Tamandua tetradactyla: one gene and its partner. The protein of the gene in region 2 purifies or fractionates together with the protein of the main gene of each other region. This does not show direct contact. Links are inferred from orthologs where the notes say so. Each region holds a gene or a part of one and is shown on either strand. Other genes may lie near its edges.

Region 1 (7,401 bases), on a different chromosome or scaffold from region 2:
AAGTGCTTTACACATTCGATCTTGCTGATTCTTCACAAGCACCTCTGAAAACAGGTCTTGTTATCCTCTCTTTAGAGGTCTCAGGGGTTCTGAAAGGTTCAGTCCCACAAGGGCACAAGCTCAGATAAGATTTCAAAGCCTGCACAGATTCACAAGGGTCAGCTAAGTCAACAAGGGACAAATAGCTATGGACACTTACTAAGTGCTAAGTACAGTGCTCAGACAGGAATGGGACCTGTAGGGTGGGGTCCCTGCCCCTGGGCACTTCCAGTGAGTAGAGGAGACAGACAAGAAACACCTAGTTACTCAAAAGTTTCACTATAATTGGGATAAAATCTTCCACAATGAAGAAGGGCACTTGGGAGCAGGGGACTTATCTGGTGAGGGAAGAAAGGCTTTCTTGAGGAAGTGATATTTGAGGAAGTGTTTCTAGAGCCCCAAAACGCTCTAAAAACACCAACAGAGTGAAGTATTAAGGATTTTCCAGAGATATGTACACCTGAAGGCCTTGAACCTCTCGCAGGGCCTGTGCTGAAAAGTTAGGGAAATGAGGGGGCTGCACATCTGGGTCTTCCATGGGGCTTCAAGCATAGGGTTCTGTAAGATCAGCCAGTTCCCTTCTGTCTTCTAAGGATTCCCACTTAAGCAGACACTCCTTCCCAAAGACCTCTTTTCACAAGAGAGAATACACAGAAACACCCTATACACCACCAGTCTCTCCACTGCTGACAGGGGGCTTCCATCTAAAGAGCACTCACTCAAGAGTCTGTCTCAACTATCTGAGATACTCTCTTCTCCCCAGACCACTTCCCAGAGAAGGATAAACCAATTCTCACCTCAGACAGGAAGGGAGGGCTGAGGGCGCACCCTTGTGAGACCATCTGGAGAAAGGGAAGTGTGAGCCACGTTCCCAGTGGGTTTGGTCACATTCTAACCATAGCTAGCATGTTTGATGCAGTTACCATGTTCCAGCATTGTGGTGTGATTTTGCTTGTCTTCCCAGTTAATTCGCCAGAGAATCCCTCAGAGATTATCAAGCCCCCCAAGGGAGGAAGTTGTGGATCAGAGAGGTGACCTCTCACTTGGTCAAAGTCACAAAGTTGGTGAGTGGGAGAGAGATGGGGCATGAACCCAACTCTCTTCCACTCTAGTGTCCAGGAACTCTCAATAATACTATTCCCATTTTTCACAAAGAAGGAGATAGACTCAGGGTGTAAAGCAAATTGGTCAAAGTAACAACAAGGCTAAGAGTAGCAGAAGCTGGAGTCATTCCTCCATAGGGAGCCCCTAAATCAGGGTGAGGAAGGAGTTAAACTCGAGCTAACAGAAAACCTAGAACATAAACCATCCACTGTTGAAGTTAGGACCAAGACACCAGGTTGCTCAGAGAAGGTCAGAGATTTTCCCGGGTCACAGAGCTCAGGACTAGCACTCTCTAACTCCCAACAAGAGAGGCAAGCAAATTTCCTTGAAGCGCCCAAGCACACCAAAATCCTGGAGCCACCCAGGCCAAAGAAAGAGCTACTGGGTGAGATTATCGAGAAGTTTCTCCTTAAAGCTTCTCCTTAAATCCCTCCTGGGCCTCAATTTCCTCATTCGGTAAAATGGGGCTATAGTACAGCTCCTATTTTGCTTGCTTAGTTCTGAAGACTCAGAGAAAACGCAGGCAAGAGCCGGAGCCCGGCATCTCGTAGGTGCTTAATAAATGATAAAACGTTCTGCATCGCAGAGGGGTGGGAGGAGGCCCAGTCTTTATCCTAGCCTCACAGCAAAGTCCCTTCAGGCTCTGCCTGGTGGCTAAGGGGAGATCGATTCTGCGAGAAACAAACTTTTAGGACCTCAGACCACTTACTAGAACGCAGTCTAATAGCACTTGGGTTCGGGAGCCGCGACCAGAGTTCCCCCCACCCAAGTCCCTCTCTCCCCAGCTCGGGCCGCCGCCGCCGCGGGTCGGGCAGCCGGCCAAGCCCCCGGAGCGCCCGCGGGCCCCACCTCTTGGAGCGCGCCGCCCACCCCCTCCAACTGGGGCGAGATAGAGGGGGCGGGGTAGGGAGCGGGGAATAGCAGGAGACCCTGTCGGCCTTCGCTGGCCAGTCCCAGACGCCCAGTTACCGGCGCTCGGGAACTGGAGCGCGGACATATCCTAGAAAGAGTGCCCAGCCGGCCTGCCCCGGCCAGGAGGAAGGGAATCTGCGGAAGGAGGCGGGGAGGAGGAGTGGTCGGGCCGCGCCGGCCGGGATTTGCCTGGACTTGAAGGCGCTCTCGACAATCGCCCTAACCCGAGAACCTCGAGAAGGCCCCCTTCTCCTTGGCCAAGGGTCCGAGGGAGCCTTGGAGGCTTCACACCTCTGGGGGGGAGGGGGAGGGGGAGGGGAAGGGGGCGGAGAAGGCCGAGGCTGCCGGTTGATGCAACCCCACACCCAGGTTACGCACTTCACTCCCCCTCCCCAAGCCCGAGGGGCGCACTGACTCCGCTCCGGACGGCCCGAGGCTCCGACGCCGCTCCGGGTGCCTGCGAAGAGTGGTGTCGCCCAGCCGCCGCTTACCTCTTCGGCCCCGGCGCCGCCGCCGCCCCGGGTGAACGGCAGGTAGCCCTTGAGCTCAGCGCTGCACTCGGAGTCCGCGACGATCATAGTGTGCGCCAGGACGGAGCCGCGGCTCGCAGACGACCCGGGCACCCGGAGGGGGCGTTGGACGGATGCACAGCGGGAAGCCGGGACCCGGGGCTGCGGGCGGGTTTCTAGAACCCTGTGCCTCTCGCGATTCCAGAACTCTCCGAAAGCCCAGAAACCGGGAACGGCCGCTGCTGCGCTGGACTCTCACTCAGCCCCTCTTCTGGAACGGTGAATGGCCGCAGGAGCCTACGATTGGCCGCGGCGCGAGGGTTCTCACCGTGCGGAGCGCCTCGGAAGTCCGCAGTGGCCAGGGCTGCTCGCGAACCCAGCGCTTCTCAGCATCCCCGCCGCGGAACTGCCAGCGCTCGCCCGGCCCTGACACCAGCAGACCCGCTCAGCCCGCTGCGGTCCCCGGGGGAGGGCGGGGACACAAAAGCCCGCACCGCAGCCAATCAGATGTCTGTTTCCCGGGGAGGCGGGAGCAACACCTCCCGCTGGAGTCCCCTGCTCGGCCAATTGGCATCGGGAAGTTCCCGGGAACTCTGGGAGCTGTAGTCTGGCCCAGACCAATGCTGCAAACTTTTGCAAGAGGGGTTAGTCAGAGTGCAGGCAATGCCCGGCAAGAGTGACAGCCCAGAGAGTCATTAAAGCTACGTGATGAAACGCGAGTTCACCGGTCTCGGCCGGAGAGCCGGTGTTAAGTCCCTCCCAAATGTGTGCTTCAGCTTTTCAGTTCCTGGAGGGGCGGGTGAGGATGAGAAGTTCGGCCTTGCTGTATCCAGAGGTGTTAATTATATAGAGTGGAACCCCAGATCTTTGGAGATCAGAGGGCACAGCCCTGTTCTCCTTGGCCTCGCGGAGAACTCCGCCTTTAAATGTACCAGACACTGGGAATGCAACCTATTTGTGGAGGTTCTGGGGAACCCTTCATTCACTGAAATGGCACTGGCCACCTCATGTCTATTCTAACCTCAACCTGTATTGCTGCAGTTTCCTCCTTTCTGCTCCCTTGGGACCTCAGGTCCTGTCTTCCAGCCTTGCCCAACCCCCTTCTCGAAACTTTGTGACAAGGTGTTGTGCTGTCTCTTTTCTCACCTCACTCTGGCCACTCCTTCTCTGACTCCTCTTTCTCCTCTCACTCCCTGCAACGTGGGTGTTCCCCCAAGTTTCTGTTTTTATCCCTCTGCGCTCCAGACATACCCTTCGTCCCTAATTTCATACACTCTCTGGCCTTCAACCCTCCTTTGGGGAGGAAATCACCATTATCAGCACCTCAGCAGCTTGAAGCTGAATTCATCTTCCCCTCCCCCTTCTCACAGAGCCTTTTCCTTCACAGTTTTTCTTCAGAGTTCTTCTTTTGTTTCAGTTTTTTTTTAAGTCATTGTTTACTATGGAGAGGGATCCTGGCAGTGGCAGAGATGGACTATACAACCGCCAAGGTCCCCTCTGAGACTCTCTAAGTGTAGGATTACAATTCCAAAGATGAGCCTCTGACTCGGTCTCCTGCCTCCAGCCTTTTGAGAAAGGAAATTAATCTCACTCTCCCTTCAGCTCCCAAGGTACTTGGCCTGGGTCTGTATTATAACAGCACACTCTATCTTGTGTACATGTCTTATATGACCCTTTTGATTATAAGCTTCTGGAGGGCAGGGTCCACATCTTGACATCGTTGTCTCCTGACCTATGCCACCTTGTGTGATATCCCGCCAACAATATGGCCTTGTTAAATGAATCTTCCTTTGAATTAAATTCCCATCTAAAGCACTGTTTCAGATTTCTGCTTTTATTTGAAACAATTACTCTGTAATATCAGTGTCCAGATGAAAAAGCTCTAGTGGTGTCTCATCAGTTACAGAATAAAGGTCAAACGCCCAGATTGGATTCAAGACCTGCCAAGACCTGCCTCAATTTACCTTTTCAGTCTCATCACCTATCACACCCATGTTCCTTGTTTGACTTTCAAGTCTTTCTTCCAATGGTTCTTTCTGCAAATCTATGCCCTTTGAAATGCTACCCAGCATTCACTGTTTTTATTCTCTGTGGCATGAAAGAAGGCTTCCAAATGCCACTTCCTCCAGAAAACATTGCTTTTTTTCAGCCCAGCAGAAAGCAATCTCTCCTACTCATCAGCTTCTTCAACGTGACCTTTCTACTTCTATACCACTGCTCCCCAAACTTGATGCAGCTTCATTATTATATTTGCATGTCATTTCTTCCTCCCCAACTAACAATGAAATATGTTATTGACCAGTTTTCCAATGTGAGGAAATGATCTCAGAAAGATAAAACTGCTTGTCCAAGATCACAAAATATATTATTTTGACTGGGCCAGGTTGCCATTAGAACTCCTTTAAGACAGGACTGTCTAATTGTTTCTGTACCCACCACTAGGACAGAGCCGATCCTTAGTACATTTTTGAATGAATGTATCTGAGGTACTCTCCTCTGTAGAGGAACACTTCAGAATCTTCAAGAAAGTGACTAAACCATTCCCAAGGCTTTGCTTACAAAATTAGTGATTTTAGAAGAAGAATAAGCAAGAGATACCACTATTATAAATTGGATGCTCTTTTGTAACCCAGTATCCAAGGAAAAAAATCAGAAAACACAGGAACTAACATTTGCAGTGTTCAACAGTGGTTGAGGATATATTTGTTGTCACCTCAGGATGCATCTGTTGTCTTACGTTACTCTCACCACAACCTCATGAGGTAGACATTATGTCTCTGTTTAACAGATGAGGAAACTGAGGCTCAAGAAGTATATTGGCCAAGTTCAGATAGCTTAGTTCTAGGTTGAGCAAGGATTCAAACCCAGGCAGGAATGAATCCAAAACAGAAACTCCACCGTGCCACTGATGAGAGAAGGAAGGGAATGTGTAAGAAGCAGGCTGGCACAAGGAACTGATGCTTAAGTCAGAATTCCAAAGTATTAATTGGAAAACATAACTGTTAAGTCACCTATAATTGAAGGGCCAACACATCCCTCCTTGTAGGATAGTCTCCATGAAAAGCCAGGTTATCATCCACAGGTGGCCAGGGCTACTGAAATCTGAGCAAACGGAATGGATGAAAAGATGAATCATTGAACCAGCTCCACTCAGGACAAACCTGCTAGTCAGTGCTGGGCTCCTTCCCTCCCTCTCTCATTCAGTCAATATGTATTGACCATCTAGTGTGTACCAGGCTTTGTGCCGGGCTCTAGAAATCCGGCCGTGAAGCTTCCAACCCAGTGGGGCATGGCGCAGTGACACCAGCTGGACATACTTCCCCTCTCCCCCACCACCTCAAGGTTTTGGTTCAGTCAGTATCTCTTCCTGTTGCCATACTCTCTTGCATCATCCATGCTGAAGCCACTGATTGGCTGGAGCTTTTTTATTCCTCAATATTTCAGTTCTGAAGATACATCGAGATTGGATTTGAAATGTTTCTGAGTTTTCCTCAGCTTCAGGCCCTTTCTCATATTATGACCCTAATGGAATTCTCACCTAGTCTGTATTCATTCTTCCTAGGTTAATTTTCTAATCCCATATTCTGAGATCACTTTACTATATAACCTGTACTCCGACCACTCCTGGGACTGTGATTTATCACCCCAGAAGCCATCTTCTGAGTTCTTCACATTGTTTCTTCCTCCCCATGCCCCTCTTACCTCCATCTCAAAATACAATTCCTGCCCTGGAGGAGACCTGGGGGGAAAAAAGCCCAATCTCAACTGGTTTGATAAAGCCAAAGGAGACCCACCCCTTGTGGGTATTAAACTGACTCCTTCATTTAATTATTCTTTAAGTAGGCATTGTGCTAGGTGCTGAGGAAGGGCCTTCCTTCATTAGGCTGCTGGATCCTGAGACAACCACAACTGGAACTGTCCTTCACAACTGGAGTTGTGCGTTAGGGGGCAGGACTACCACAAGTTCTTGGAAACAGAGCCAACTGTCTCCTGGGTAAAATGGAACAGAAAGGGATAGCCCAGGAATCAGGAAATTCGAATGCTAGTTTTCAGCTGTCTGACCCAAGGTGAATTTTTTTTCTTAGAATCTGATCTCATATCCCTAAAACAAAGGAATTGAAATTACTCCCAACCCTTAAGAGCCACCGCAGGGAGAACTGGTGTTGGAAAAGTACGTAATTCCGTTGCTTTGACTGCATTCCGAGGACAGAAACCTTCAGCTTTGACAAAGCACAGCTCTCCTAATAAATAAAACAGGAAAACTGACCAACTGGATGCTCTTGAGTAACTCACTGAATTCCTGATGGATTGTTTGTCGGCTGAATGGGCCATCAGCGCCCCCTGCAGTCTGGATCTGCTACAGCTCAGCCAGAAACGGGCTGGAAAAAAAGGTGTGGCTTGAGGGCTGCCCCAAACCTTTTTGAGTTTATAGGATCGCCAGGTCCCATGCCACCGCCCTAGAAGTCCTGAGAAGAGGCCATGAGATGGCCAAGTATAAAAAGCATATGGTTGCTCCTCTGCGCCAGCAGAGACCCGACTCCTAAGACTTCACGGTATGAATGCACTTCCCACTAATTTGACCAATTCTCTCATGAAACAGGCAGGAAGTCAGAGATCCGAGAGAGGAAAGAATTTGTCCAAGGTCACCCAGCAAGATGGCCACTGAGTGGAAACTAGAACCCTAGCCCAAGCTCCAAGTCCAGGGAGCCTCACATTTCCAGAAAGAACAACTTCTCTTTTTGCTCTGGTGTCCTTCCATTCCATTCCTAGAGGCCCTCACTATACATCCCATTTCCAGACGCCCCTGCGGGCCGTACCCGGAATAACGCTCCTGACC
Region 2 (7,654 bases):
GAAAAGCCATGTTTTAATCAAAATCCCATTTCATAAAGGTAGAATAATCCCTATTCAACACTGGATGTTTGAAACTATAATCAGATCATCTCCCTGGATGATGTGATTTAGTCAAGAGTGGTTGTTAAGCTCGATTAGGTGACAACATGTCTCCACCCATTTGGGTGGGTCTTGATTGGTTTATTGGAATCCTATAAAAGAGGAAACGTTTTGGAGAATGGGAGATTCAGAGAGAGCCAGAGAAGAATGACATAGCCACGAGAGCCCACAAGCCTGTGACATTTGGAGATGAAGAAGGAAAACGTCTCCCAGGGAGCTTCATGAAACAGGAAGCCAGCAGAGAAAGCTAGCAGATGATGCCTTGCTTGCCATGTGCCCTTCCAGCTGAGAGAGAAACCATGACTGTGTTCACCATGTGCCTTCTCGGATGAGAGAGAGACCCTGAACTTCATTGGCCCTCTTGAACCAAGGTATCTTTCCCTGGATACCTTTGATTGGACATTTCCATAGACTTGTTTTAACTGGGACATTTTCTCAGCCTTAGAACTGTAAAATAGAAACTTCTTAAATTCTCCTTTTTAAAAGCCATGCTTTTTCTGATATATTGCATTCCAGCAACTAGGAAACTAGAATAAGGCCTTTGCTGGAATTTCATCACAGCTCACCTTCTCCCTCTGCCCAATCCTGCTTCTTCTCCTTCCCTTCCATAAAATGTTGATCCCAAGCACACTCCCTAATAAGCATTCTACATCCCAATCTCCATCTTTTAGCCTGGTACCCAGGAAACCCAACCTGAGAGAGTGTTAAATAAGTCTTACACTATAAAATTATCTGGCACATGGCAGATGGTATATAATTATTTGTTAAACAAACAAAAATAATTCAGTGGGAGAAAATAGAATGAAAATACAAGTTCAAGAAGAAAAAAACTGAATAATGTAAACTTTCTGATAATCAAAGAATAGCTTACTCATACATTTTTAAAATGAATGATAGTGGAAATCAACAAATACAATGGTACTTAAATTATTCCTGATACATTTAAAGAGTGGTATAACTATTAATTTAATTTAATTAATTAATTTAAATATTAAAAATTTCATATGTAAACATATTATGACAAATATTAGACGGAATACTAAAAATGTAAGAAAAAGTGCAATTATTTACAAAATTTATTTGGGAATATGCTAGAAAACTTTTGAAGATCACTATTATGGTATCTCAGAATTTCTCGTCCTCGATGTTTGTAAAAATATTACTGCCTTAGCGTCCCAGGACTGCTATTAAAAATAAGTCAATGGGCTGGCTTAAACAAGTATTTATTATTATTTATTTTATTAGTTTTTCAGGCTAGAAGTCCAAAATCGAGATGTCAGCAAGGTCATGATTTCTTCCCAGAGTCTATAGCGTTCTGGGGCTGGTTTGCCACAATCACTAGATTTCCTCAGCTTCCATCTCTGCTTCAGTCACAGGGCAATCTCTCTCTTACTGCATCTGTTCTTCTGGTTTCTGCTGACTTCTGGCTTCTTCCTTTGGCTTTCTCTGACTAACTGCATCTGAATTTCCTCTTTTTATAAGCTTCCAATAATATGGATTAAGGACAACCCCCACCCCAACCCAATTCAATTTGGCCACAATTTAATAATAATATCCTCAAAAGTTCCTTTTTACAGTGGAACACCCTTAGGAACACAGATTAAGATTAAGAATATGTGTTTTACTGGGGTACATAATTTCATCTACCACAATTACCATGTAACATATTTACAGGGCTTTGATTTTGGTTTGATGCCTACTCAGACTCCACCTAAGAAAAAAACTTGCTCTCAGGTTTAGACTGATTTTGCGTATGTGGAAGTAAAGGTAGCTGGGATTAGTCAACCACAGACTTCACAGAACGTCCCAGTAACTGCAGTTCTTCAACTACTATCCTTTACTGGTTTAAAACTACAACAACCCCCCCTACTCCATAAAATAAATGAAGGGGCTTAAAAAGGACAACATCTTAAGAACTCAACAGTTTAATAAATAAATAAATAAATAAAACACTGGGGCTTAACTACAGCAACTCTGATATCTATTACAATATATGTGTTTATAAAGGTAACCAATGTAATCTGAGACCTTTCACTCATTAAATAGTTCTCATTTTGGTTCATGTTTTGTTGTTTTGTTCTGCCATTTCCTAGACAGCAGGAAAAAGAAAAGGAAGTAGATGGTAAACAGCTTCCTTTTTAAGGGATATGATACAGAAATTCTCACAACTTATTGTTCACAACTTTTTGACAGAGTCATGTTTAGCCAGATGGGAGGCCAAGAAAAGTAGCTTCTAGCTGGGTCACCAAGTGCCCTGCCTAAACCTGGAGGTAAAGGAAAAGAATGGAAACTGGGGATGTAGAGTATATATTCCAGAAGGAGATGACAGGTAAATGCAAGTAAAAAGGTGAATATGTATGTGAAATTGTGATGAATGCTTTTCAGAAAATTAAGGGAGAGGGACAGAGGAGTTAACTTATATATAATCAGTGACAACTAAACAGATTTAAATGAAGTGAGAGTGTGAGTCATGCAGATTTCTAGTGGAAGAGCATTCCAGTAGAGGGAGCAGCTAGTGCAGAAGCCCTGAGACAAGAGTACACTTGCCATGCTCAAGAAATAGTAGTCATAGGGACAGAAGGAGAACAAAGGAGAATGGTGACAGAGAAGTAAGTGTAGAAAATATTTCAAGAGAGAAGTGGTCAAGAGTGTCAAAACCTACAAGGGTGAAACCTTGGCCAATGGAATTGATAGTGTGGAAGACATTGGTGACTTTGACAAGGGCAGTTTTGTGGAGCAGTGTAAATGAAAGCTTGAGGAGAGTGAGTTCAAGAGAGATAGGAAGTGGCATTAAAGAGAAGAAGTCTGATCTCCTTTGAGGAGAAAAATGGGAGTGACTTGAAAATGTTTATATTTTAAAGGGAAAGAACCAGTAGAAATGAAGAGATTGAAGACACATAGAAGAGGAGAAAATTGATGGCTAAAGGTCTCAGAAGAGCAGAAATATATGGGGTTCCTACTCTTCCTCGGTCAGCTAGAAGAAGGTAAGAATGGGAGTGAATGAAGATGTTGGAGGAGGGAAAGAGGAAGCAGTATGGGGCTGTGGGAATTCCTATCTAATCGTCAATTTTATTTGTGAAGTAGAAGGCAAAGTCATCTGAGTTTGACGGTAAAGGTTTTGCTCAGGCATGTATGTAGGAGGAGTGGGTAAGGAGGAGTCTTGTATTGATCTGAGTCTTGTATTGTGTGGAGGTTTGGGGCCAGGGCCAAACTATTGAGAGGATTGGCAAGAAAGTGTTGGAGGTGATAACTCCTATGATATTTCCCTTCAATACAGCACCTTCTTCTGCCCTCGCTCCTCCAATGGCAGCAGTGAAAAGGAACCTCAGACCTCCACAGGCAATACTCTCCCCTAATTCATCATTTCTCACCAAAACCATCTGCCTTGAAGATCATCAGAACTAAGTTCATTATGTGTTTACATCAATCACCAAGATGAGCCAAAGGCCATCCACTGTTAAGTATGAACAAACAGGTAAAAATTGTAGACATCTGAAGAAAACCTCTGTGTTGGTCTTGTAACACCTATGGATGCACCAGTATCTGTTAACCAGAACCTGGTCACCATTCAGGACTCCTTTTTTTCCCTCAGTTACTCAGTCATCAAGCCTTTGTTCATTCTGCTTTCTAAATATTTAATTCTCTTCATCCCAGCTAGTTTGGGCCACCATCATTTCTCATTTGCATACTTATCCTTTCCCTCTCCTTGTCGGCTATAACCCCATTCCCATCCAAACTGATTAAATCATACTTGCTTGGTTTAAAACCTTTAATAGCTCCACCACTGCCCTCAGGAAAAAGTCCATCTAAACTCCCTAAACTAGTTTCCAAACATCTTCCTGATGCAGCATCTTAATTTTTCTCCATTTCACCACTTCCGCTACTCACTCTAACCTCAGAACATTCTGTCCTGCTTCTCAATTGCTATATCTTCAGGCTCAGCACTTGCTCTTCCTCCTGCTAAAAAACTCTTCTCTCCATCTCCCTCTGCCCTCGTCCTTTCCTGGCTGATCCCATATTTACCCTTCATTTCTTTGCCTAGTGGTGCCTCGAGGAAGCTTTCCTGAATCCCCAACACTGAGGGGCGCTCTTCCGGTGCAGCATTGTGCCAGCCCTATTCAGGCGCCACTCAAATAGTCAGTTTTCTGCAGGGACCATGTCTATTTTTGTTCACTCCAGTACCCCTAGCATTTCCTAACAGTACAGAACAGACGCCCAAGACACGCTAGTGGAATGAATGAACGAGTTGACCAAGTGTTGAATCAAATACCTTGGACTTTCAACTACATCGCCCACAATAAATTTCTAATAAAAACTAAAATTTGTTGAACGTGCTTAAGTGTGTGAGTTGATTTTGAAATCGATAAAAAGGGGCTCTGGGGTGCAATCCAAGTCCAAGACTCCCAGTTTCCACCGGCGGGCTCTACGGGCGGGACAGGGCCTGCAGGGAAGGCAGGGGCGCTCGGCCAGAAGGCGGGGCCTCCCAGGCAGCGGCTCCGCCCCGCCTAAGGGCGGGGCGATTCCCTGGGCGAGGGTGGGGCGGGACTCGTGCGTCGAGAACCCACCTTCCGAGGCCCAGGCGTGGTTGGCGCGGCCTCGAGATGCGGCTTTGGTCTCGTGAACCCTGGCCGTGTGGCCCCGGTTACTAGCCGCGCCGCCGCCATCTTGCCCGCGTGCCGGCTCCCGCGGCGGGAGGGGCGGCGACCAGCCCGGAAGTGGCTGTGCAGCGGCCCCGCTGCCACCTCAGGTCAGTGAGTGCGGCCCGGGCCACTTGTCCGCGCTTCCAGCGGTGAGGCCGGGGGCGAAGGCTCGGGAGCTCCGGCCGCCGTGACGGGCTTGGATAAACCCATTTGAACGGTGCGGGCGCTTGAGCTCCGGGGATTTGCGTTCCCCTCTGCGGGATAACCACGCTGGGCCTCAGGGGGCCGGGGGCTGCGAGCGGCCAGAGGGCGCGCGGGGACCTCCTCGGGGGCGCGGCGGGCTGCACTTCAGCCTGCGCCTCGGCGGGTTTGTTCAGAACCGCGTCGCCGCCTTTGACTAGAGACTGAGCCAGGTGTCTGGAGCGTGGGAGTCTCCTCAGAGTGTTGGTTTACCCGGAATATTAACAAGCCCTGCTCCAGTGTACACTATTAAATACTTCTTAAAGGGCCTACCACCCGGGCATTTAGCTCTGATCTCTTCAAATACGAGTAATTAAAATTTCTTAAGATGACGAGTAAAGCCAGTCGCGTATGCCATGGGCATTGCTACATTTCTTAACAAATGACTGCAGTTGCAGGCCTTTTGTATAATTACATTTTAAGGGAAAATTTGAATTTGTATAGTGCAGATCCATGAAGCTGGTGGGGGTGGGAATTTGAAACTTGCTGTTGTAATATGCCGTGGTAAGAAAGAAAGAAGAAAAAAAGGATGTGAAAGGTTGATTGGCTAACTTTGTTCGCTTAGTATTATAGATCGTCACTGTCCAATTAGCCACGTGGGGCTGAGAGAGTTTGCAGTGTAAAATACACATTGGATTTCCAAGTCTTGGTACAAAAAAAATAGAAATTCTCAATAATGTTTATGTTGATTAAATGCTGAAAGGATAATATGTTTTATATATTGGGTTAAATAAAATATATGTTTTAAATGAATTGTATCTATTTTTGCTTTATTTGATGTGGCTGCTAGCAAGTTTTAAATTATACGACTCTCACTGTTTTAGTTGCACAATGCTGTAGTAGATGTTCTGATGATGACCATGGAATCGGCATGGCTTTCTTTTGCTCAGAAACTGTTGATGGGAAGTGAACACTCGTTAAACTTTGAAGGTGAAAGTATAAAAATATAAGCCCTATTTTAGGTGAACTCCACTTCCTCAACCTCCAAGTTTTCAATGTCTTTAAAATTTGAACACATTAACTTCTGTGATAACATCTGTGTGATGTGAAGAGCTCATTTCATTGTTGTGACTACTTAAAAATGTAAGTAGGAAAGGTTGATTCTATCAGTTCGTGTCTTGGAATTTAGGGGTCTTGTCAAAGTTTTAGTTTCAGAGTAACTAGAGGTCTTCTCATTACAGGTTCAATTTTCTTTGTTCTACACTGAATTCCTAGCTGTCTTCATTCATGAATGAAGATTCATCTATGTTGTGTGTTGGATTGTGAAGAAATGCCTGTGTTAAGAGGGTCATTATAGAAGCACTTCTTTATACCATGTCAGCTTCGTGGTGCGCAACCTGGACAGCCTCATAGGGTTCCACCCTTAGAAGGGAATCGTGCTTGATTTAATGCTCTGCTTTTGGCATGTTGAAATACTTAATAGTCTTCCAGCAAGGGGTCCCTGCATTTTCATTTTTACTGGGCTTGGCACATTATATAGCTGATTCTGTCTCTGATGTGTAAGAGCCAAAATATGCTGGTCTTCACCCTATTCCTACATGAACCGAGGGTGTGCCAATCTCTCCCTCTCAAGTTCTGTTTTGTACAGGTTACTATTATCAAATTTGGTTGATGGTAATATCGTAAGTATATAACGTCAGAAGAAATTCTGGTGATTCTCCATTGAGAGTCATGTAAATTAAATAGTTTTAAAAATTACAGTGACACTTTCTGTTTGTGTTTTGTAAGAGGAGATTTTTCCATGGCATCAAGTTTTCATACCGCATTTTTTTAAACTTTTTTTTTTTAATTGGAGAAGTTGTAGGTTAACAGAAAAATCATACCGAGAGTCTCCATTTAACCCCCCTCATGCACAGTTTTCTCTATTAACATTTTACATTAATGTGGCACCTTTGTTACAGTTGATGAAACAATATTGTAATTATACTATTTACCACAATCTATAGTTCACCTTAGTGTTCACATTAGTGTTCACTGTTTGTGTTATATGGTTTTATGGCTTTTTTTAATTTTTTATTCGGGGAATATATTACAACCCAAAATTTTCCCTTATAACCACGTTCAAAATGTATAATTTAGTGATGTTAAATACATTCACAATATTGTACTACCATCATGACCAAACATTACCAAAATTTTTCCATACTCCCATCCAGAAACGCTTTACTGATTAAGCATGACTTCCCCATTCCCAGCTCCCACCCCGACCCTGGTAACCTGCACTGTAGTTTAAAAATTCCATAAATTTGCTTATTCTAGGTATTTCATTTAAGCTAAATCATATACTATTTGTACATCTGTTTCTAGCTTATTTCACTCGACATGACGTGTTCAAGGTTCGTCCTTGTTATACCATGAACCAGAATTTCATTCCTTTTTACAACTATCTAATGTTCCACTATAATGGATAAACATACCATATTTTGTTTAATCATTCATCTGCTGATGGACACTTGTGTTGCTTCCATCTTTTGGCAATTGTGAATAATGCTGCTTTGAACATCAGTGTGAAAAGATATCTTAGAGTACCTGCATTCAATTCTTGGGGTATATACCTAGAAGTGGAATTGCTGAATCATATGGTATTTCTAAACTTAACTTTCTGAGGATCCACCAGACTATTTTCCACAGCGGCTGCATTATTTTACATTCCTACCAACAATGAATGACTCTTC

The links.
Region 1: the proteins of MIOS (region 2) and SESN2 purify together in Homo sapiens (affinity purification with western blotting; 5 studies listed by BioGRID and IntAct, with this or other methods). This does not show direct contact. The link is inferred for Tamandua tetradactyla from reciprocal best matches to the Homo sapiens genes MIOS and SESN2.

Annotation. Positions count from the first base shown.
Region 1 is NC_135328.1:197,945,978-197,953,378, forward strand, and holds the start of SESN2 (sestrin-2), read right to left. Parts: upstream 3,007-7,401; 5' UTR 2,634-3,006; coding exon 2,547-2,633; intron 1-2,546. UniProt on the Homo sapiens protein: Functions as an intracellular leucine sensor that negatively regulates the mTORC1 signaling pathway through the GATOR complex. In absence of leucine, binds the GATOR subcomplex GATOR2 and prevents mTORC1 signaling.
Region 2 is NC_135327.1:117,444,124-117,451,777, reverse strand, and holds the start of MIOS (GATOR2 complex protein MIOS), read left to right. Parts: upstream 1-4,643; 5' UTR 4,644-4,846; exon of another isoform or gene 4,847-4,956; intron 4,957-7,654. UniProt on the Homo sapiens protein: As a component of the GATOR2 complex, functions as an activator of the amino acid-sensing branch of the mTORC1 signaling pathway. The GATOR2 complex indirectly activates mTORC1 through the inhibition of the GATOR1 subcomplex.